3 linked regions of the Macaca fascicularis genome follow. The protein of the gene in region 1 purifies or fractionates together with the protein of each later gene. This does not show direct contact. Links are inferred from orthologs where the notes say so. Each region holds a gene or a part of one and is shown in the gene's direction. Other genes may lie near its edges.

Evidence for each region. Proteins that work in one complex are often made in the same cells at the same time.
Region 2: the proteins of MEX3C (region 1) and YWHAE purify together in Homo sapiens (affinity purification with mass spectrometry; 3 studies listed by BioGRID and IntAct, with this or other methods). This does not show direct contact. The link is inferred for Macaca fascicularis from reciprocal best matches to the Homo sapiens genes MEX3C and YWHAE.
Region 3: the proteins of MEX3C (region 1) and AP2B1 purify together in Homo sapiens (affinity purification with mass spectrometry; 4 studies listed by BioGRID and IntAct, with this or other methods). This does not show direct contact. The link is inferred for Macaca fascicularis from reciprocal best matches to the Homo sapiens genes MEX3C and AP2B1.

What each region holds. Positions count from the first base shown.
Region 1 is NC_088392.1:38,551,733-38,558,511, forward strand, and holds the end of MEX3C (RNA-binding E3 ubiquitin-protein ligase MEX3C), read left to right. Parts: intron 1-1,295; coding exon 1,296-2,521; 3' UTR 2,522-4,322; downstream 4,323-6,779. UniProt on the Homo sapiens protein: E3 ubiquitin ligase responsible for the post-transcriptional regulation of common HLA-A allotypes. Binds to the 3' UTR of HLA-A2 mRNA, and regulates its levels by promoting mRNA decay.
Region 2 is NC_088390.1:1,454,922-1,461,948, reverse strand, and holds part of YWHAE (14-3-3 protein epsilon), read left to right. Parts: intron 1-3,697; coding exon 3,698-3,834; intron 3,835-7,027. UniProt on the Homo sapiens protein: Adapter protein implicated in the regulation of a large spectrum of both general and specialized signaling pathways. Binds to a large number of partners, usually by recognition of a phosphoserine or phosphothreonine motif.
Region 3 is NC_088390.1:41,926,211-41,933,237, forward strand, and holds part of AP2B1 (AP-2 complex subunit beta), read left to right. Parts: intron 1-1,447; coding exon 1,448-1,638; intron 1,639-3,675; coding exon 3,676-3,897; intron 3,898-4,431; coding exon 4,432-4,552; intron 4,553-4,677; coding exon 4,678-4,773; intron 4,774-7,027. UniProt on the Homo sapiens protein: Component of the adaptor protein complex 2 (AP-2). Adaptor protein complexes function in protein transport via transport vesicles in different membrane traffic pathways.

The sequences.
Region 1 (6,779 bases):
AAAAAAAAAGCCTCATCTGACTAAAGTGGTATAGAGAATATTAATTTATTAAGGACAAAAAAGGAAGGGAATATTTAAGAAAAAGACATGCTCAGATTGTGACACTTAGCTTCAGTAGCACCTAGCTTCTCCTTTTTTTTTTTTTAAGATGGAGTTTCACTCTTGTTGCCCAGGCTGGAGTGCAGTGGCACAATCTCGGCTCACTGCAGCCTCTGTCTCCCGGGTTCAAGCAATTCTTCTGCCTCAGCCTCCCAAGGAGCTGGGATTATAGCACCTAGCTTTATTTTGATGAACTAAGAATAGTATGATATATTCATGAGAACACATCTATCCTGGCAAGCTCAAGTTAGGGTCTTTGAAAAGTATAACCCCAGAGTTTTATGCCTTGATGTGTACTTGACATTTTAAGTTACAGTTTGAAACCCTCTAATCTTAACATAGTTGGCACTAGTAATCTCTGATTACTCAAAAAAAAAAAAAAAAAAAAAAAGGTGGTTAAAGTGGGGCATTATGTAAAGTTATACATATGTGTCTTAGATGTTTTATTTTAACTTAAATATACTTAGTATTTGTCAAGGCCTTTTGTTTCAAATTGTGTCTGTCAATCAGAGCAGTCCTTGAGTAAAACCATACCCAGCACCCACATTCCATACAATCTGCAGTATCTGTTTCTTTTAAATGGAGCAGGACTTTACAACGATTACAAAATCATTCTATGTTACTTTTTTTTATCCCAGCCCTTTATAGCTGTCTCACCTATTCATAATTCAATAGCAGCTTTTTTCTTTAAGATGCTCTTTAAGATACTCGTCTTTTTTGCATTGATGTTTCATTAGTTTATGCAATAATTCAGATAATTCAGTTACTAGCATGAGTACACCTAGCACAAACAACATGGGAATAAACAAAACTGAATCATAGCAGGCCTAGAATTTAACTGGTGGGAGCAGAAGTGAGATGACCTACTAGCCATGAGCACAGTGTTTTTGTCATCAATTGAGTTTTACAGAGGAAAGAGTAATGTTAAGTTAAAGTGATAAGATAATTAGGTAGAAGTCAGTTTAAGAACTTCTGTAAGATAATTGTGAAAATAGAGGTTCTTGGACTAGCAAAAAGACCATAGATTTTAGGTCAAACTAGGTTTACTTCTGGCTCTGCCACTTCCTAGCTTTGTGAAAAACTCTAAAACTTACCCATAACCAGATACTTAGCTTAAAAGGTGCATTCTGTGATTTGTCTTTATATATATCATTGAAGTACATGTTGATTCTTATGAAATGTTTTCTTTCTAACAGGTTGTAAAATTAAAGCACTGAGAGCCAAGACAAACACGTATATCAAGACTCCTGTTCGTGGTGAAGAGCCCATTTTTGTTGTCACTGGAAGGAAAGAAGATGTTGCCATGGCCAAAAGAGAGATCCTCTCAGCTGCAGAGCACTTCTCCATGATTCGTGCATCTCGAAACAAAAATGGGCCTGCCCTGGGAGGATTGTCATGTAGTCCTAATCTGCCCGGTCAAACCACCGTCCAAGTCAGGGTCCCTTATCGTGTGGTAGGATTAGTGGTTGGACCCAAAGGAGCAACTATTAAAAGAATTCAGCAGCAGACCCACACTTACATAGTAACTCCGAGCAGAGATAAGGAACCTGTCTTTGAAGTGACAGGGATGCCTGAAAATGTCGACCGAGCACGGGAAGAAATAGAAATGCATATTGCCATGCGTACAGGAAACTATATAGAGCTTAATGAAGAGAATGATTTCCATTACAATGGTACCGATGTAAGCTTTGAAGGTGGCACTCTTGGCTCTGCGTGGCTCTCCTCCAATCCTGTTCCTCCTAGCCGCGCGAGAATGATATCCAATTATCGAAATGATAGTTCCAGTTCTCTAGGAAGTGGCTCCACAGATTCCTACTTTGGAAGCAACAGGCTGGCTGACTTTAGTCCAACAAGCCCATTTAGTACAGGAAACTTCTGGTTTGGAGATACACTACCATCTGTAGGCTCAGAAGACCTTGCAGTTGACTCTCCTGCCTTTGACTCTTTACCAACATCTGCTCAAACTATCTGGACTCCATTTGAACCAGTTAACCCACTCTCTGGCTTTGGGAGTGATCCTTCTGGTAACATGAAGACTCAGCGCAGAGGAAGTCAGCCATCTACTCCTCGTCTGTCTCCTACATTTCCTGAGAGCATAGAACACCCACTTGCTCGGAGGGTTAGGAGCGACCCACCTAGTACAGGCAACCATGTTGGCCTTCCAATATACATCCCTGCTTTTTCTAATGGTACCAATAGTTACTCCTCTTCCAATGGTGGTTCCACCTCTAGCTCACCTCCAGAATCAAGACGAAAGCACGACTGTGTGATTTGCTTTGAGAATGAGGTTATTGCTGCCCTAGTTCCATGTGGCCACAACCTCTTCTGCATGGAATGTGCCAACAAGATCTGTGAAAAGAGAACGCCATCATGTCCAGTTTGCCAGACAGCTGTTACTCAGGCAATCCAAATTCACTCTTAACTATATATATATACATAAATACTATATCTCTATATGGACTCGTAAAGGCATGGGTATAATGGTACCCCCCAGTAAACTTCCTAATGATTTCTTATGACTGTTATCAGGCTTTATTGGGATTAGGCTAAAGTTGTTAGTAAACTTATAAAAGGCTGCTATGGTAACACTAAACCTAAGTGGTCTCTTGTCTATTAGTTTGGTTTGAATTATTAATACTATCCTGTAGACCCAGAGACATAGTTTATATAAGAATTGCTAAAGCTGAAGTTCAACTTGGCTGAGTGAAGATAATCATAGGTTGTGTGAGCCTATGAGAAAAGTGTATACGTCTAAGATTTCAAAACAGTGGGTCCCAAAGCCTAACCACTTTAAGAGTTTATGGAGGGTACTTGGCATTACAGACGATTCATACACTTCCAGTGCTGCCTTCTTTACACTGCCAGTTTTGACAAAACAGGTTTGTTTGTTTTTTATTTTACAACAACTTATGCCTAATTCTGCAGGATTGCAAGTAACTTTTTAATGCATTGTGATTACTTATTGGTAATAATAGGGCTGATGGCAGTTTACTAGATCACTGGTTATAATTTGGGACAAAAACTGCTACATCGACTTTCATCTCGCCCAGAGTTCTCAAGGCTGGTATGATCAGTGGATCAGGAATGCTGAATTCCTGCCCATTGCCTCTCTTGGTGAATGTGGAAATGGCCACCTTGGTTTTCCCATATCAGGAAGGGCTTTGGGATGGCACCTATATTGGCTAACAATTGAGGATGCGAACATTCCATTCATTAGTGTGCTCGAGCTGTTAGTTTTTAGACTATAGATCAAAATGTGAAACATTTTATGTTCAATCCATATTTGTCTTGCACATTATAAATATATTTTTATTTTTTAGTAATTTAGGGGAGGGAGGAAGGGGAAAGGGATAATGATGCCCTTGGCATAATTCATAAAAGCAGCTGTGACAACCTCCAATGAGTTTACTTCATTTCAAAAACTATTTCCAATCACAAGGAAAGATTTATTTAAAATACACTCGTACATTTCACCTGTGGATGTCTATAACTTCATCCTCAGTATGTTCCCAAATCTGTGCTGGCATTGAAAGGACAAAACATTATACTGGTGGGTTTTTCTACTAATTATTTTTTGAAGCATTATTTTCCCAACACAAAAGAGCTTTTTTCTCGGTATAATGAAAATTGAAATCCTATGTGTATTCAATAGTAAATAGACAAATTTTATTTTTTATTTCCACTTGAAGAGTTACATTTCTTATAAAAGTTTACAAATAACGGTTTTTATTTTGATTTTTTCAGTATAAAAAAAGTTGCCTTGATGGCATATTATGATGTAATGCTAATTGCTTGTAGGATAGTAAATGTCAGTATTGAAACCTAATCTCTAGCTGCCGTCTTGTAGATATGAACGAATGTTCACCAAGCATGTATTTTGTATTTTGTTGCATTGTACACTGCAACTAATAAGCCAAGGAATCGACATATATTAGGTGCGTGTACTGTTTCTAAAAACCACAAACTAAGAATGATAAATTATCAATATAGTTTAGTATTTGCTAATTTTACTACATTCTTTTGTTATGTATATGTAGGGAAGTCATAGGGATTATAAATTCAATTTGAGTAAAATTTAAAACCATATATTTTATGATAAAGGGCCTTTAACTTAAGATGGCCAAAGCACTGATATTATATATTTGCTGTAAAGAGAATTATAAGAGTTTTATTTTTCTGATATTAAAAGTTACTTAATAAAGACTTGTTTCCATTAACTTGAATGTATTCTCCTTGGTGTGTTTCATATAATCATCAGTTTATACTAGAAGATTAGTTAACAGAATTGAAAATTTTCTTTTATAGACTCCCTGTTCCCCAACCAGCTATCTCTGCTCACTCTTGTAGTTATTTTGTGTATGTGTGCTCTTGGTTTTGAGTGTGTCGCTTGTGTTCCTGTCCAAGTTTAGTTTTTTCTTTAAATGAGTGTTACATTACAGTAAATTGGAAATTTGGCTGGTTGTAGATTTAATTGCATATTTGTGTAGTTGACCACAAACCACTAGTGATCTAATTGTGAATAGTAAGTGACTTTCTTTTATACATCGCTACTTGAAATCCTGAATTCAACTTAAATTCTACTTGGTTTGCATCCTTTGTTTATGCATTTTTGTCTTCTTATCACCAAATCTGTAAAACAAGTTCTTTTCTAATACAAAAGCACCAGTTTACCTTTCAAGAAAAACTACCTTCTGAAAAGTTGACAGAAATATTTCTCCATTTATGAAATTGATTTGATACAGATTGAAGTAAATCATTGACTTTTTTTTTTTTTTTTTTTTTTTGAGACAGAGTCTCGCTCTGTTGCCCAGGCTGGAGTGCAGTGGCGCGATCTCAGCTCACTGCAAGCTCCGTCTCCCGGATTCACGCCATTCTCCTGCCTTAGCCTCCTGAGTAGCTGGGACTACAGGCGCCCGCCACCATGCCCGGCTAATTTTTTTTGTATTTTAGTAGAGACGGGGTTTCACTGTGTTAGCCAGGATGGTCTCGATCTCCTGACCTTGTGATCCGCCCGTCTCGGCCTCCCAAAGTGCTGGGATTACAGGCGTGAGCCACCGCGCCCGGCTGACATTGTTTTAAAAAGCAAGAATAAAGGCATTTCTAAGATAATTTTAAAGAAACTAAAATTCTATTCTTTTTTTTTTTTTTTTTTTTTTTTTTTGAGATGGAGTCTCGTTCTGTCACCCAGCCTGGAGTGCAGTAGCTCAATCTCGACTCACTGCAACCTCTGCCCCTCGGGTTCAAATCAGCCTCCCGAGTAGCTGGGATTACAGGCACACACCACCACGCCCAGCTAATAATTTTTGTATTTTTAGTAGAGATGGGGTTTCACCATGTTGGCCAGGCTGGTCTCAAATTCCTGACCCTAAGTGATCTGCCCACCTTGACCTCCCAAAGTGCTGGGACTACAGGCGCGAGCCACTGTGCCTTGCCTCTATTTATTCTTAATACTTAGACGTATCACATATCCATTCCAAGACTTCACTGTGGGTTTTGGACAAATTCTTAGGCTGTGGTAGACTTGCAAACATAGATTCAATGATGGGCAAGATCATCGTTCTAGAATTGTTGGGCAGAGTTACTTTGTCAACTTTAGGATTAGTCCCCGGAAGTATTAGTCTAATTACTCGGTTGTGTTACAGTATTTGTACAATTCCTGTTTAGATTGGATAACTTGTGAAATGAATTAACTTTTACCTAATGCTAGGTCAAAATCTTTCAGGGGGCCTTGAAAATAATCTCTATTTTAGAAGCTTTCCTTGTCCCAGAGTAAGCCAAAACTTGTCGGGAAGTAATGTTAGCAAAACTGATAAGCACTTACTCTGGTTCTAAGTCGGGATCTGCCTTTCCCTGTGTGCCTGTGTTAATTTTCTTGCTTACTGAAGTATTGGGGAAGAGAGACTTCAGGAAATCTGTGGGCCTGTGTTACAGGAAATAGCCATACCACACTGGATAATCTGCAATGTGAATAACCAAGAATTAGGCAAACCTATTGGGAGACCTTTACATTATTCCATTTTCACAACTGGAAAGGTGGATGCTAAACTGAAAACATTAGGTTTGGCTAGCTGCGCAAGTTATTGTAGTGTTCTATAATTCTTCCTATAAAAGACTTTATCAAAAGAATCCCATTGCAAAGTAGACTTTTAGCAAGAATGGAGGCTAGAATAATTAGGTTTAAAAAAACAGGTATAAAATAGGGGTATTAAATGTGTTTTTACAGATTGTTCAGTGAATCTGGTAGCCCAAAACCAGACACTGGTTCTCATTCTGCTACCTGCCCCTTCTATCCCTTAAATTTCTACTTTTCTCATTCTAAAACTTTTTATAAATAATGGGGATTGGGGGTGTTTATAATACACTGTGAACATCTTTTCCTTGTCAGTATACTTCTACAATGTAATTTAATGGTAGCAGTAATATTCTCTCTTCTGGCTATCCCATAACTTAACCATTTGCTCTTAGTGACTAATCGAAGTAACTATGGGCAGTGGAGCCCTGATGAAATATAGGGAAGGACATTGAGAAGCCTCAGGAGGAGATTCAATTTAGTAAAGATTTAAAATAGCTGTTCTCTTTAAAGTGGCATACCTTCCCCCTTGGGTACATCAGAGCAATTCTTCCTATTAAGTTTCTTCAGCTGATTATATGTAATAATTGAGAATTGTGAAAGAAATGTT
Region 2 (7,027 bases), on another chromosome or scaffold:
TTACACCAGTACACTCTAGCCTGGGCGACAAAGCAAGACTTTGTTTCAAAAAATACACACGCGCGCGCACACACACACACAATTTAGTGGCACCAAATACCTTGACAGTGTTGTGTAATCACCACTATTTATTTGAAAACTTTCTCTTCACCCCACACAAAGCAAATTACAGCCATTAAACAAACAATAACTTCATTTCCCCTCTGCCCACCTGCTAGTAACTTTTATTTTACTTTGTCATTATGAATTTTGCGCCCATTCTAGATACCTCATGTAAGTGGGATTATATAATATTTGTCCTTTTGTGGCTGTTTTTATTTCATCTAGCATCATGTTTTTATCCATGTAAAAGCATCAATCAGAGCTTCAGTCCTTTCCGTGACTGAATTCAGACAATTCATTTTACGTGTTTTGACACATTGTTTAGTCATTAAACTTTGAGTGGTCAGTGGGTATCTTTCCACCCTTTTTCTGTGGTGAGTACAGTGCTGCTGTGAACATGGATGCATTAAGTATTTGCTTCAGTCCTTGTATTTAACTTCACCTTGAGGTGGAATTGGGACTGAAAATTCTGTGTGTACCTTTTTTTTTTTCCCCAGACAGGATCTTGTTCCGTCTCTGCAGTTGTGCACTCATAGCTCACTGCAGCCATGGCTTCCTGAGCTCAGCTGATCCGCGTATGAGCCTCCCAAGTAGCTGTCACTAGAGGAGGATGCCACCATGCCTGGCCTTTTCTTTTCCTTTGTTTTTTGTTTGTTTTGTTTTTTTGTTGTTGTTTTTTTTGTTTTTTTTGAAGCAGAGCCTGTCACTGTTGCCCAGGCTGGAGTGCAGTGGCACAATCTTGGCTCACTGCAATCTCTGCCTCCCGGTTTCAAGCGATTCTCCTGCCTCAGCCTCCCAAGTATCTGGGATTATAGATGCCCACCACCATACCCGGCTGATTTTTGTATTTTTATGTAGAGACGGGGTTTCACCATGTTGGCCAGGCTAGTCTTGACCTCACCTTAAGTGATCCGGTCACCTCAGCCTCCCCAAGTACTGAGATTACAGGCGTGAGCCACTGCACCCGGCCTCTTTTAAATTTTTACAGTAAATATTGCAGTAGCAAAATGGTTGTTTTTTGCTTTTTTTTTCCGATGAAGTCTTGCTCTGTTGTCCAGGCTGGAGTGCAGTGGCGCGATCTCGGCTCACTGCAAGCTCCGCCTCCTGGGTTCACGCCATTCTCCTGCCTCAGCCTCCCGAGTGGCTGGAACTACAGGCACCTGCCACCAAGCCTGGCTAATTTTTTAATATTTTCAGTAGAGACGGGGTTTCACCGTGTTAGCCTGGATGGTCTTGATCTCCTGATCTCGTGATCTGCCTGCCTTGACCTCCCAAAGTGCTGGGATTACAGACGTGAGCCACCATGCCCGGCCTCTTCTGCTTTTTGTGTGTTTTTTTTTTTGGTTTGTCGAGGACCACTGCTTAAGCCAAGTAGATTTTTTAAGTGAAAGCCTTTCAGAGATTGAGGAAAGTAGATTAACTGATACATTAGAACTTTAACGTTGACTATTACAGGCATGCTTCACTGTGCTCGACTGATTTTTTTTTTTTGCATTTTTAGTAGAGACGGGATTTCACCATATTGGTCAAGCTGGTCTCGAACTCCTGACCTCAGGTGATCCACCCACCTCAGCCTCCCAGAGTGCTGGGATTACAGGCGTGAGCCACTGCACTCAGCCAATCTAAAAATATTCTAAATGGCTAGTTGAGTTTGTCCAGGATAGGGGTCATAACTGAAGAAGCTTTGGCTGTTTAACTGATACTGGTGGTTGCACCTTTCCTTGTCAGACTCCAGTCTAGCTGTCCCACGTGTAGCTCCAGTTTTAAGTCACTTCCATGCCTTTGCTCATGCTTTTGCTTAAACTTGAAGTGTGTTCTTTTTGCTTTCTCCTGATCCATTAAGGTTAGCTCAAATTTGACCTTCCCATTAATTGCTCCTCCTGGGTCCCTGAGATACTTTATTTAGAGTAGCACTTGAGTCTTCGTCGTCTTCTTTTTTTTTTTTTTTTGGTTCTTTTTGTCCAGGCTGGAGTGCAGTGGCACAATTTCAGCTCACTGCAACCTCCGCCTCCCGGGTTCAAGCAATTCTCCTGCCTCAGCCTCCTGAGTAGCTGGGACTGTAGACATACACCACCATACTTGGCTAATTTTTTGTGTTTTTAATAGGTTTTGCCATGGTGGCCCGGCTGGTCTTGAACTCCTGGCCTCAAGTGATCTGCCCACGCGCATTGGCCACCCAAAGTGTGCTGATTACAGGCGTGAGCCACCACACCCAGCCTCCTCCTTCTTTTAAAATAGTTACACATTTGTCCATCCTCCATTTCTAAAGTTTTAAGGTGATTGTGGACTTAGATTATGTCTCTCTTTTTTTTTTCTATTGGTATCTGGTATCATTTCTTGGGCATAGTACACAGTATTCAGTAGGTGTGGATTTTCTTTTAAAACTGTAAAAGGCAGGCCGGGCGCGGTGGCTCACGCCTGTAATCCCAGCACTTTGGGAGGCCGAGGCGGGCGGATCACAAGGTCAGGAGATCGAGACCACGGTGAAACCCCGTCTCTACTAAAAATACAAAAAATTAGCCGGGCGCGGTGGCGGGCGCCTGTAGTCCCAGCTACTCGGGAGGCTGAGGCAGGAGAATGGCGTAAACCCAGGAGGCGGAGCTTGCAGTGAGCCGAGATCGCGCCACTGCACTCCAGCCTGGGCGACAGAGCGAGACTCCGTCTCAAAAAAAAAAAAAAAAAAAAAAAAAACTGTAAAAGGCTTACATGACCACATTTCCGTGGCTTCTGTGTTGCCTTTTATTTTCTTTGCTTCCCTGCCTCCATTAATGTGAAATTAAATTTTATTAAACTTTGAGGTATTGTCCAATATTTTCTTTTTGCATTAATACTTTGTTAAATATCTGGGGGGGGGGGGTTGTACCATTGGTCCCAGCCACTCAAGAGGCTAAGGTGGGAAGATTGCTTGAACGCAGGAGTTCAGGTCCAGCCTGGGCAACATAACGAATCTCTTAAAAAAAAAAAACTTGGGGCCGGGCGCGGTGGCTCAAGCCTGTAATCCCAGCACTTTGGGAGGCCGAGACCGGCGGATCACGAGGTCAGGAGATCGAGACCATCCTGGCTAACACAGTGAAACCCCGTCTCTACTAAAAAATACAAAAAACTAGCCGGGCGAGGCGGCGGGCGCCTGTAGTCCCAGCTACTCGGGAGGCTGAGGCAGGAGAATGGCGTGAACCCGGGAGGCGGAGCTTGCAGTGAGCTGAGATCCGGCCACTGCACTCCAGCCTGGGTGACAGAGCGAGACTCCGTCTCAAAAAAAAAAAAAAAAAAAAAAAAAAAAAAAAAAAAAAAAAAAAAAATTGGCCGGGCACGGCGGCTCACTCCTGTAATCCCAGCACTTTGGGAGGCCGCGCCTCTGCAGATCGCGCCACTGCACTCCAGCCTGGGCGACAGAGCAAGACTCCATCTCAAAAAAAGAAAAAATAGTAGTGCTCCACATACCTTTAAGTTAATTTTTATTGTATTTGCTTTTTCTTTGTATCATTGTCACTATTACACACTGGAATAACTGAAGAAGAGATTGATGTCTAGCATGTCTTTTCTAATTCTGATTTTGGATTTAATTTTTATAATACATTTATTTAAATACCTTTAGGTTGGCAAAAGCAGCTTTCGATGATGCAATTGCAGAACTGGATACGCTGAGTGAAGAAAGCTATAAGGACTCTACACTTATCATGCAGTTGTTACGTGATAATCTGACACTATGGACTTCAGACATGCAGGGTGATGGTAAGCAAACACTAGGAAGTAAAAGAGGCACCTCTTTCAGTTGCAGGATTTGTTTTTACTCTCTGTAGACATTCCTTGGCATATCTTTACATCAAGCTACAATTTAGACTCACTGCCTGCTCTCTATGAAATTTTAATTATTGCCTTTATAGGAAATGGTGCTAAAGTACTGAGTTCCATTTTGGGGAACTTAGTTTAAGTCTGCCTTTACACTGTTTCAAAGGTTGAGGAAAGGAAAAGTGGAAAGCAAGTAGTTTATTTTATCTTCGTCCAGATTCAATTTTAGGGGGCTGAAGTTAACTGTATTTAAATCCAGATGGTATCAATAGGTATTTATGAAGTTTTTCTCTTTGTTGAAATTTTTTATCTAAAAGGGAACTAATTTCCCATTTACCTCTGGGGTTCAGCAGAGAAATTGTATGTTGGCCCTTGGGTCTTTTTTTTTTCTTTTCTTTTTTTTTTTTTTTTTTTTTGAGATGGAGTCTCGCTGCAACACCCCGGCTGGAGTGCAGTAGCATAATCTCGGCTCACTGCAAGCTCTGCCTCCCAGGTTCAAGCGATTCTCCTGCCTCAGCCTTCCGGAGTAACTGGGGTTACAGGCACCCGCTATCATGTCCACCTAATTTTTGTATTTTTAGTAGAGACGGGATTTCGTCATGTTGGTCAGGCTGGTCTTGAACTCCTGACCACAGGTGTTCCGCCCGCTTCAGCCTCTCAAAGTGCTGGGATTACAGGCGTGAGCCACTGTGCCCGGCTGTTGTTACTTTTAAGAGGTTTTCATTGCAAACAATTTAGCTAGAGTATTTTACTAAACTTAATTGTGATGGTGAGTGTGTGTGAATGTTTACTTTAAATACAGAAGCCCAAATTTGTTAACGTTTGTTGATTTTAAAGGAAGTTTAATTCTCTCTCTCTAGAGAATCATTATTATCCATGGTAGATTGTTGAACAGGGGTGGAGAAGAAGACAAATTAGTGTGATATGAGCATTACATTACAAGATAGTTTTACATTTGGTGGTGCTGGTGCTGGTAGGAGGTTGGAAACAAAGTCTGTTGTCAGTTTTAGCTGCGATTCCTTTAAGCATGTTTCTTAAGCTGGGCTGGGCGCGGAGGCTCAGGCCTGGAATCCCAGCACTTTGGGAGGCCGAGACCGGCGGATCACGAGGTCAGGAGATCGAGATCATCCTGGCCAACACAGTGAAACCCCTGTCTCTACTAAAAATAGAACAGGTGTGTTGGCGGGCGCCTGTAGTCAGTCCCAGCTACTCAGGAGGCTGAGGCTGGAGAATTGCTTAAACCCAGGAGGCGGAGGTTGCAATTAACTGAGATCGTGCCATTGCACTCCAGCCTGGGTGACAGAGGGGAGACTCCATCTCAAAAAAAAAAAAAAAAAAAAAGTTTCTTAGACTGAAACATATGTCGCGTTGCTTGAGGCTATCTGTAGTGTCTGTTGGGGAAATCGACCTGCTGTATTGTCTTTGGAAGTGTTACACTTTTTGAAAACGCTTCTGAAAGTGGGCACGTATGTGTCTTTTCTCTGAAAGGATCAAATCAGATTTGTGACTTTTGGGTTATGGTACTAAAGTGAGACTCAGCTTTTAATGCTTCCTAGCTCTAGGAAATGTTTAGGATTTGACTAGATCGGGATTGGCATGAGATACTCATATACATAGGACTTACTTACACGCTTGCAATAGTGCCAGATGGAGCCACGGACCACTTCCCAGCGCAGCATTTCAGGCTGCTACTCCCAGTCCTTGGAACTCAGAAACAATTTACCAACTCTGAACAAGTGGCTTCCAGCTTGAAAATCTATCCCACTCTGGTTGCGGTGGCTCATGTCTGTAATCCCAGGACTTGGGAGGCCAAGGTGGGATGATGCCTGAGCCTAGGAGTTCAAGACCAGCCTGGGCAACATAGTAAGACCCTGTCTTTAAAAAAAAGAAAAGAAAAAAAAGGCCGGGCGCAGTGCTATGTGCCTGTAACCCCAGCTACTTGGGAGGCTGAGGCAGGAGCATTGCTTGAACACAGGAGGTGGAGGTTGCGGTGAGCTGAGATCACGCCACTGCACTCTGGCCTGGGAGACAGAGCGAGGCTTCATAGAGCAAGACTTTATCTCAAAAAAAAAAAAAAAAAACTCCAGTGAGGTTGGGGGATCTTGAGGCTGTAGTGAGCCTTGATTGCGCCACTGCATTCTAACTTGGATGACTGAATGAGGTGCCATCTCTTAAGGGAAAAAAATTGTTTTAACAACTATGAAGAAGAATGGCCAAACAGCTGTGGACTCCTAACAGTCATCCCCAGCTCAGATACTAGCATCTCTCTGCCTGTTGATGGAGGGAAAGCACGTGGAGAGTTTGGGAAGCGGGATTGACTTGAGGAAATGATACCCTCTCACCCCTGGGGATGGGTGTTTGAGAGTAAAAGTAATAAAAAGTAATAAAGGTGACTTGACTTGAATGTGTGTGTGTGTGTATGTGTATTTTATTATTTATTTGTTTATTTTTATTTATTTATTTATTTTTGAGACGGAATTTTGCTTTTGTTGCCTAGGCCAGAGTGCAGTGGTGCTGTCTCAGCTCACTGCATCCTCTGCCTCCCAGGTTCAAGTGATTCTTCTGCCTCATCCTCCCTAGTAGCTGGGACTGCAGGTGTCCGCCACCACGCCTAGCTAATTTTTTGTATTTTTAATAGAGACAGGGTTTTACTATGTTATGTTGGCCAGGCTGGTCTCAAACTCCTGACCTCGTGATCTACCCATCTCGGCCTCCCAAAGCGCTGGGATTACAGGTGTGAGCCAGCGCGCCCGGCTCATTTTTTGGTTTGTTTTGGTTTGTTTTGTGATGGGGAGTCTCCCTGTGAGCCACCGTGCCTGGCCATTTTCATTATTATTTTTTTTTTAAATAAAAACATTGCCAAGCACAGTAGCTCATGCCTGTAATCCCAGCACTTTGGGAGGCCGAAGTGGACGGATCACCTGAAGTCGGGAGTTCGAGATCAGCCTGACCAACATGGAGAAACCCCGTCTCTACTAAACATACAAAAATTAGCCAGGTGTGGTGGTGGGCACCTGTAATCCCAGCTACTCAGGAGGCTGAGGCAGGAGAATCACTTGAACCCGGGAGGCAGAGGTTGCGGTGAGCCAAGATCGCTCCATTGCACTCCAGCCTGGGCAACAAGAGCAAAACTCCC
Region 3 (7,027 bases), on another chromosome or scaffold:
TGGGAGCCTCACTGCAAAACATGGTCTTAAGTTTACTTGTATAGGGCCACAATATATAGTATTTTGTATGTATGCATGGTTTTTTTTTTTTTTTAGTATGTTTGCAACTTTTAAATGATTTTAGATGTTCTTCCGTTGTAGATTTCTTAGAATTAATTTGTAATTTTGATAAAGTGTTGACTTTTCTTCCTGCAGCTAAATGGATTCCCAGATCTGTGAGTCAGGATACAAGTGTACTTTCTAGTGTAAGGTAGCAATTTTTCAGCCGGGCACGGTGGCTCACGCCTGTAATCCCATCACTTTGGGAGTCTGAGGCGGGCAGATCACCTAGGGTCAGGGGTTCAAGACCAGCCTGGCCAACATGGCAAAACCCCATTTCTACTAAAAATACAATAATTAGCTGGGCATGGTGGCGTGCACCTGTCGTCCCAGCTACGTGGGAGGCTGAGGTGGGAAAATCCCTTAAACCTAGTAGACGGAGGTTACGGTGAGCCGAGATACACCATCACACTTCAACCTGAGCAACAGAGCAAGACTGTCTCAAAAAAAAAAAAAACAGGGTAGCAATTTTTCATTTACCCTACCCAGAAAGAAGGATACATTTGAAATACTGTATTTCATTGAATCTTTAATGCCACTGATTATAAGATGTATTATTATTTTCTGTATTACTAAGAAAGAAAAATGCTTCCTATTGAACTGACAGGCCATTGATTATAAAATGCGACCCAGTTTCAAAGATGTTAATGTGAAAAACTATAGCTTACACTTGATGAATTATGGTAATATAACCAACCACCTTAAATTTACATAAGACTTTGTAGAAAGCACTTATACATATGTCATCTGGTTTTATCCTCAAACTGAAACTAATCTGTGAGGTGGACTAAATTATCTCATTTTCAGATGGAAAAACTGAGTTTCACAGAGATTACATATTCTCTCAGCATTGTATACTAGTGAACTAGGGTCTCAGGCCCACATATTCTTACTCTAAGACTTGTGGCATGATTGATGGTGTCACCTCCCCCAAACCCATACAGCTACACAACTATACAATTATTTGGCCTAAATTTTTCTCTCTGTTGCCTAATGTACGTATTTCATATTTAGACTTCGCCCTTTTTCATATGCTGTTCACATGTCTTGATTTTGAAAGTTTTGAGTGCCGTTAACATGGTTAATGTATGTTTTACTATTAAATAATGTGTGACTCTGCTAATATATGAATTGTTTTAATTCAGGGTTGCCTTATCACTATATATAATATCATTGGTGGTTTAATATATGTTTTGAAGTGGTTTATTTGTTTCTATCTGACTAGGTAAAATGTTCAGGAATGGTTATGAATTGAGATCCGTGAAGTGATCCAGAGAAGGCTGATTAAGTGTTTGTCTGTAGCTGTACTGTTCTTGGTGAATCAAGGTCATATCCCCTTCTTTTCCAGGTGGTGGCTAATGCCGTAGCAGCATTATCTGAAATCAGTGAGTCTCACCCAAACAGCAACTTACTTGATCTGAACCCGCAGAACATTAATAAGCTGCTGACAGCCCTAAATGAGTGCACTGAATGGGGCCAGATTTTCATCCTGGACTGCCTGTCTAATTACAACCCTAAAGATGATCGGGAGGCTCAGAGGTCAGTCTGTTTTCCTGGCTACTTTCTGATAGTCTTGCCTGATTCTATAAGTTCTAGAGTCTGGTATTAGAATAAATCAGTTGAGGAAGGTCAGTGGCTTCTAGGGTAGATGTTGCTATCTCCAAGGTATTTTCTCATTGGATTTAGGAATATTTTAGGTGGTGGAATAAACTATGCAAAACTGTTTCTAAGAAATGTATGTTTTTCATACAGTTACTTCTGCTAAAATCTTTCTTATTGTCTTACATCTCCCATGCAACAGTTCTTGGCCATTTGGCCAGCAAAGATTATTGAGTATCTCTCTTTGGAGTGACAGATTTGTCATTCTATTAGATACATAGAAAGTAGCTTCATATTAGTTATCGAGCTGACCTGTATGTATAATTCAGTATGAGAGAGAGTATGTTAAAGTCAGCAAAATATATCCTGCTTTCCATTAGATATGGAAACCATGTCAGTCTGAATTTGAAGATTTTAGAAGGCACACCTAGATTGTTCTGCTCAGCCTGTTACCATGTAATGTTGCAAATTTTCTTTAGTTATTAGAAATTGACTACTAAATTTCATCTACACATACATACATTTTAGTTTACAAAGTTGGAATTATCTCTAATTTTTATTGAGCATTTTGTATATGCAGGCACTGTACTAGGCAAAGTACTTCTGAAGAAATGTTGACTCTTCATTAAAGTTGGTATATTTTAATTATGGTAGATAAGAACTGGTCTGGCTGAAGCTGATTTCCAAGCTACTAGAATGTAAGTGATCTTCACTTATCTGGGAAATAGTCCCTCTAGACTGAACTAAAGCTCACTCTGATAGTTTCTTTCCATCATTGAAAGTACAAATACAGTCTGGAAATTACTGAGAATTACTGTTTTCTTCTGTTGGCCATTGACATCACATTCATTCATTCACTCAGCAAATATTTATTAAGCGCATACTATGTGCTAGGCAGTGTTCCTAGGCCCTGAGGATACAACAGTGAACAAAGTCATGGCCCTCTGGGATCACTTATTTGAAGGTTGGGGGTAGGAATATATAACATGTATAGATAGTATAATATATTATATGTATAGATAGTTTAATATGTAATATGTGAGATGGTGATAAGTACTAACAAGAAAGTAAAGTAGAGAGTGCCGTTATCTAAGAAATCTAAGAAATGCTGGACATTTGGGGGTGGGGGGTTGTATTTTATTTTTAAAAGATGGCCAGGGAAGGCCTCACTGAGAAGGTGGCATTTGTATAAAGACCCAAAGGAAGTCAGGAATAGGAGGAAGAGAGAAACACCGCCTATTTATCTTGTTTCTTTAATACAGTAAGTTAGCTACTCGTGTTGCCCAAGCTATCAAAATTGGATTAATTTCTAAAGAACCCTCAACAGATAATTAAATATCTACCATTTTATGAGTCATGTAAGTGTAGGTGGCAGGGGCTGGGAGAGCAGGGAGATGGGAAAATATAGTAGTGGTGTCCTGCTATTTAAAAAACAAACCCTTTTCAGAGAGTCCCTTATTCTCATTATCCTCAAGACAGGAGATTGGATTGTTTTCCCTACCAACCTGCCTCCTTCTGTATCTTACAATGAAATCTTCAGCCATAACTGGGTTGCTGGCACTTCCTATGAAATAACTCTCAGAATGCTTAATTTGACTTCCTATAGGTTGAGTAGAAATGGGCTGAGAGGCAGGGAGCCCTAACATAATATGGGGAGACAAAGAGGACTATAAAACAAGAAGGTAAATGGTGTGAGCTCAAGTGTCTTGGGTAATGCTAGTTTCTTTCCAGTTTGAACATCCCTTATTGCTGGTTTTCTGAAGTCTTCTGATGTCCCTGCTCTGCCTGTAGTTTGCTGAGAATGAGGCTTCTGCATTGTCAGATCCCAGTTTTACCTAAGCATAGAGCTTTGACTTTTCTAACTAATTCTTGAATTTTTTGATACTTGGGTCATTAGACTCTGACATATTACCTTATAGAATGAATTCAGCAAAGAAATTATAATTCATGATATTAATTTTCATTCTTTGCCCTCAGCATATGTGAGCGGGTAACTCCCCGGCTATCCCATGCCAACTCAGCAGTGGTGCTTTCAGCAGTAAAAGTCCTAATGAAGTTTCTAGAATTGTTACCTAAGGATTCTGACTACTACAATATGCTGCTGAAGAAATTAGCCCCTCCACTTGTCACTTTGCTGTCTGGGGAGCCAGAAGTGCAGTATGTCGCCCTGAGGAACATCAACTTAATTGTCCAGAAAAGGTTGGAAAATAGTGAAGTGTTGATTAAAGTCTTTGTGATTTTGCATTAAGCTTAATAATGTTAATGTTAATTAGGCTAGTGTTAATCTCTTTTTAATATATGGAAATGAAAATGTTATATGGCAGAACAACTTGCTTGCCTAGCACCAGGAGGCTAACAGTTGATATCACAGTATTTCTATAATAAATGCCATGTGTTGCTGCACAGTCCAGTTTGTTTTCTGAAGGGTCTCTTTCTGATACACTGTCTAGTGCCTGGTTGATATGGTTCACGTTGTAGTTTAGAGCCAGATTGTTGTTCTTTTAGCAGTACTTCATGGCAACGTGTGCCCTGATGCTTAAAAAGGATAAAAATAATCTGCCAAGTGGAACTGATAAGAATAGAGGCATATAGAGGAAGTTTATGCATTTTTTTTTTTTTCCTGAGTGGAGCGAGAGGAGAGCAGAGAGGCACAGATTAGGTATTAATACAGTCTCAGAAGGGTGTATCAGTATATGCCTTCACCTTCCTTTCTTCTGTTTCTGTGTACCCTAGGCCTGAAATCTTGAAGCAGGAAATCAAAGTCTTCTTTGTGAAGTACAATGATCCCATCTATGTTAAACTAGAGAAGTTGGACATCATGATTCGTTTGGCATCTCAAGCCAACATTGCTCAGGTCAGACTTTATGCAGACTCAAGTTGATAATGATTTAGCTCTTAAGGTCTGGCCTTTAAAGAAGCTAGGCTGTGAGATTGCTATTTGAGAATCCTTAATGATTAACCACTTCCTCCATTTAACAGGTTCTGGCAGAACTGAAGGAATATGCCACAGAGGTAGATGTTGACTTTGTTCGAAAAGCTGTGCGGGCCATTGGACGGTGTGCCATCAAGGTGGAGGCAAGTGTCTGATGGTAGTTAGGATCATGTATTGGGGATTCTGAGAGTTCTCTTCACTTTTTTCTTTAAAATAATTTTTAAATTTATCAAACTAATAAAGCACACCATTTAAATGTTAAATAATTTTTGATGGAAAGCAGCTGTCTCTGGTCCCTCCCTTCCCTACCTAGACTCTCTTCTCAGAGGGAATAATTTTTTTTTTTTTTTTTTTTTTTTTTGAGACGGAGTCTCGCTGTGTCGCCCAGGCTGGAGTGCAGTGGTGCGATCTCGGCTCACTGCAAGCTCCGCCTCCCGGGTTCACGCCATTCTCCTGCCTCAGCCTCCCAAGTAGCTGGAACTAGAGGCGCCCACCACTACGCCTGGCTAATTTTTTGTATTTTTAGTAGAGACAGGGTTTCACTATATTAGCCAGGATGGTCTTGATCTCCTGACCTCGTGATCCGCCCGTCTCAGCCTCCCAAAGTGCTGGGATTACAGGCCTGAGCCACCATGCCCAGCCTAACCAGTACTTTATAGCAACAAAAGGAGGCAGATGTGTGTCAGAGGATCTTCTATGAAATACCTGCTACTAATTGGCCTTCTTTGTTTTTTTCAATTTAGTACTGCTTTATGTAGTTTCTGTTGATAAATCATTTGGTAGACTGGCTGTTACAGCAAGAAGTTAGCTGATCCTGGATTCTATTCCTGGTTCTGCTAGCTCACTTGATTCAGATGTTTAATATGTTTGTTTCTCTTCATTGGAGAAATGGGAAGGTCTTTTTATTGGATCTTGATACGTTACATCTTTTTTATTACCACTATCACCACACATCACAACTTGTTTTTCTTTTCTTTTTACATTAACATATCTTACTAGCCGTGTACTTAGTATTAATATAGATAATTTTCAGAGAGATTTTGGTAGCCTAAGAGTAAGGTGGTTTTGTTCTCTTCACTAGTGTACATAGCCATCTCTTCTGTGAGACTGCCATTGTCTTATGACCTCTCTGACAAAGCTATAAACAGTAATACAAAAATTATATCTTATTCTGAAGTTAAGAGACTTTCTAGCCCTGGAATTACTAGAAAGTGTTCTCAAAGCATCTAGATTCCTCAAGACTGTTAGTCATGTATTGTGACTAATGGAAAGGTTCTCCATAGTCTTCTGGAAAAGACTTCTGATGACTTTCACTTCTTCCTTTGACTAAGCGTGCTTTGGTGGGAGTATGACAGGATGTGAGGAATGAGCTTTCTCAGGACACTTAAGGTCACCCTTCAGGAATCCTGTCTTATCTAGTGCTCTCATCTCAGATTACCCGGATTTACCTTAGAACTTTTCCTATAACTGTTTCAGCCATGAAGATTTTCAGTTTGGTTTCAGTTTGACAGAGTTGCCAAGCCAAACAGTTAATTGGGCCAGGAGAGGCCATGATTGCCTGTTTGCACTGACTCATCCATGGGACAAGAATCAGCAGCATAAGAATTGTAATGAACTTTCTGTATAGCTTTGGGAAGCAACAAGCTGTTGAGCAAATAAATAGCACTGAAAAAGCAATCCTATAGTACTATTTTTTGTTCAGTAACTTTTGCCTATTTCTTTCAGGGGTAAACATACTCCTGGTCCTTTTCAGTTTTAAAAAGGGTAGAGGTAAAGGCATTAGGTTAAGAGCAGGAGTTCTTCACTTCCTAGTCTTCTGTTTTTTTTGTGTGTTTACTATTTCTAATTTTTATATATTAGAATAAAATACTGGTTTGTGTGTCATTCTTAAAGACAAAAAATATATTTTTCCTATTAGGAAAACCATATTTGTTTACTATATAAAATTATAGAACAAGTTAAACAAAAAATAGAGTACCCCACCTCCCACGTCTTCTGTTTCACCTTCTCAGATATGCAGTGGACGTGATCTGGTAGACGTCATTTTATATCCTTGTTTATATAGTGTTCTATACAAAGATGTATTTTTTAATAAAAATGAAATCATTCCACAAATGCTATTTATTTACTTTGTTTTATACTCTACTTTTTTTTTTTTTTGGCATGCTCTATCATGGACATTGATCCAAGTTATAAAGAAAAATTTATGTCATCTTTAGTTTCTATAGACATAATGTGTGATTACTTGATAACTTACTGAATTTGTAACTTTATCCGTTATTATAGGACCTTAAAGTTGTTTCTACTCTTTTTCCAAATGTTGGTATAAGGAGTATCCTTGCAGCTAAATCTTTGAACTCTAGTTGAAGTGAACGTTTTTTCATAACAGTTATGCTT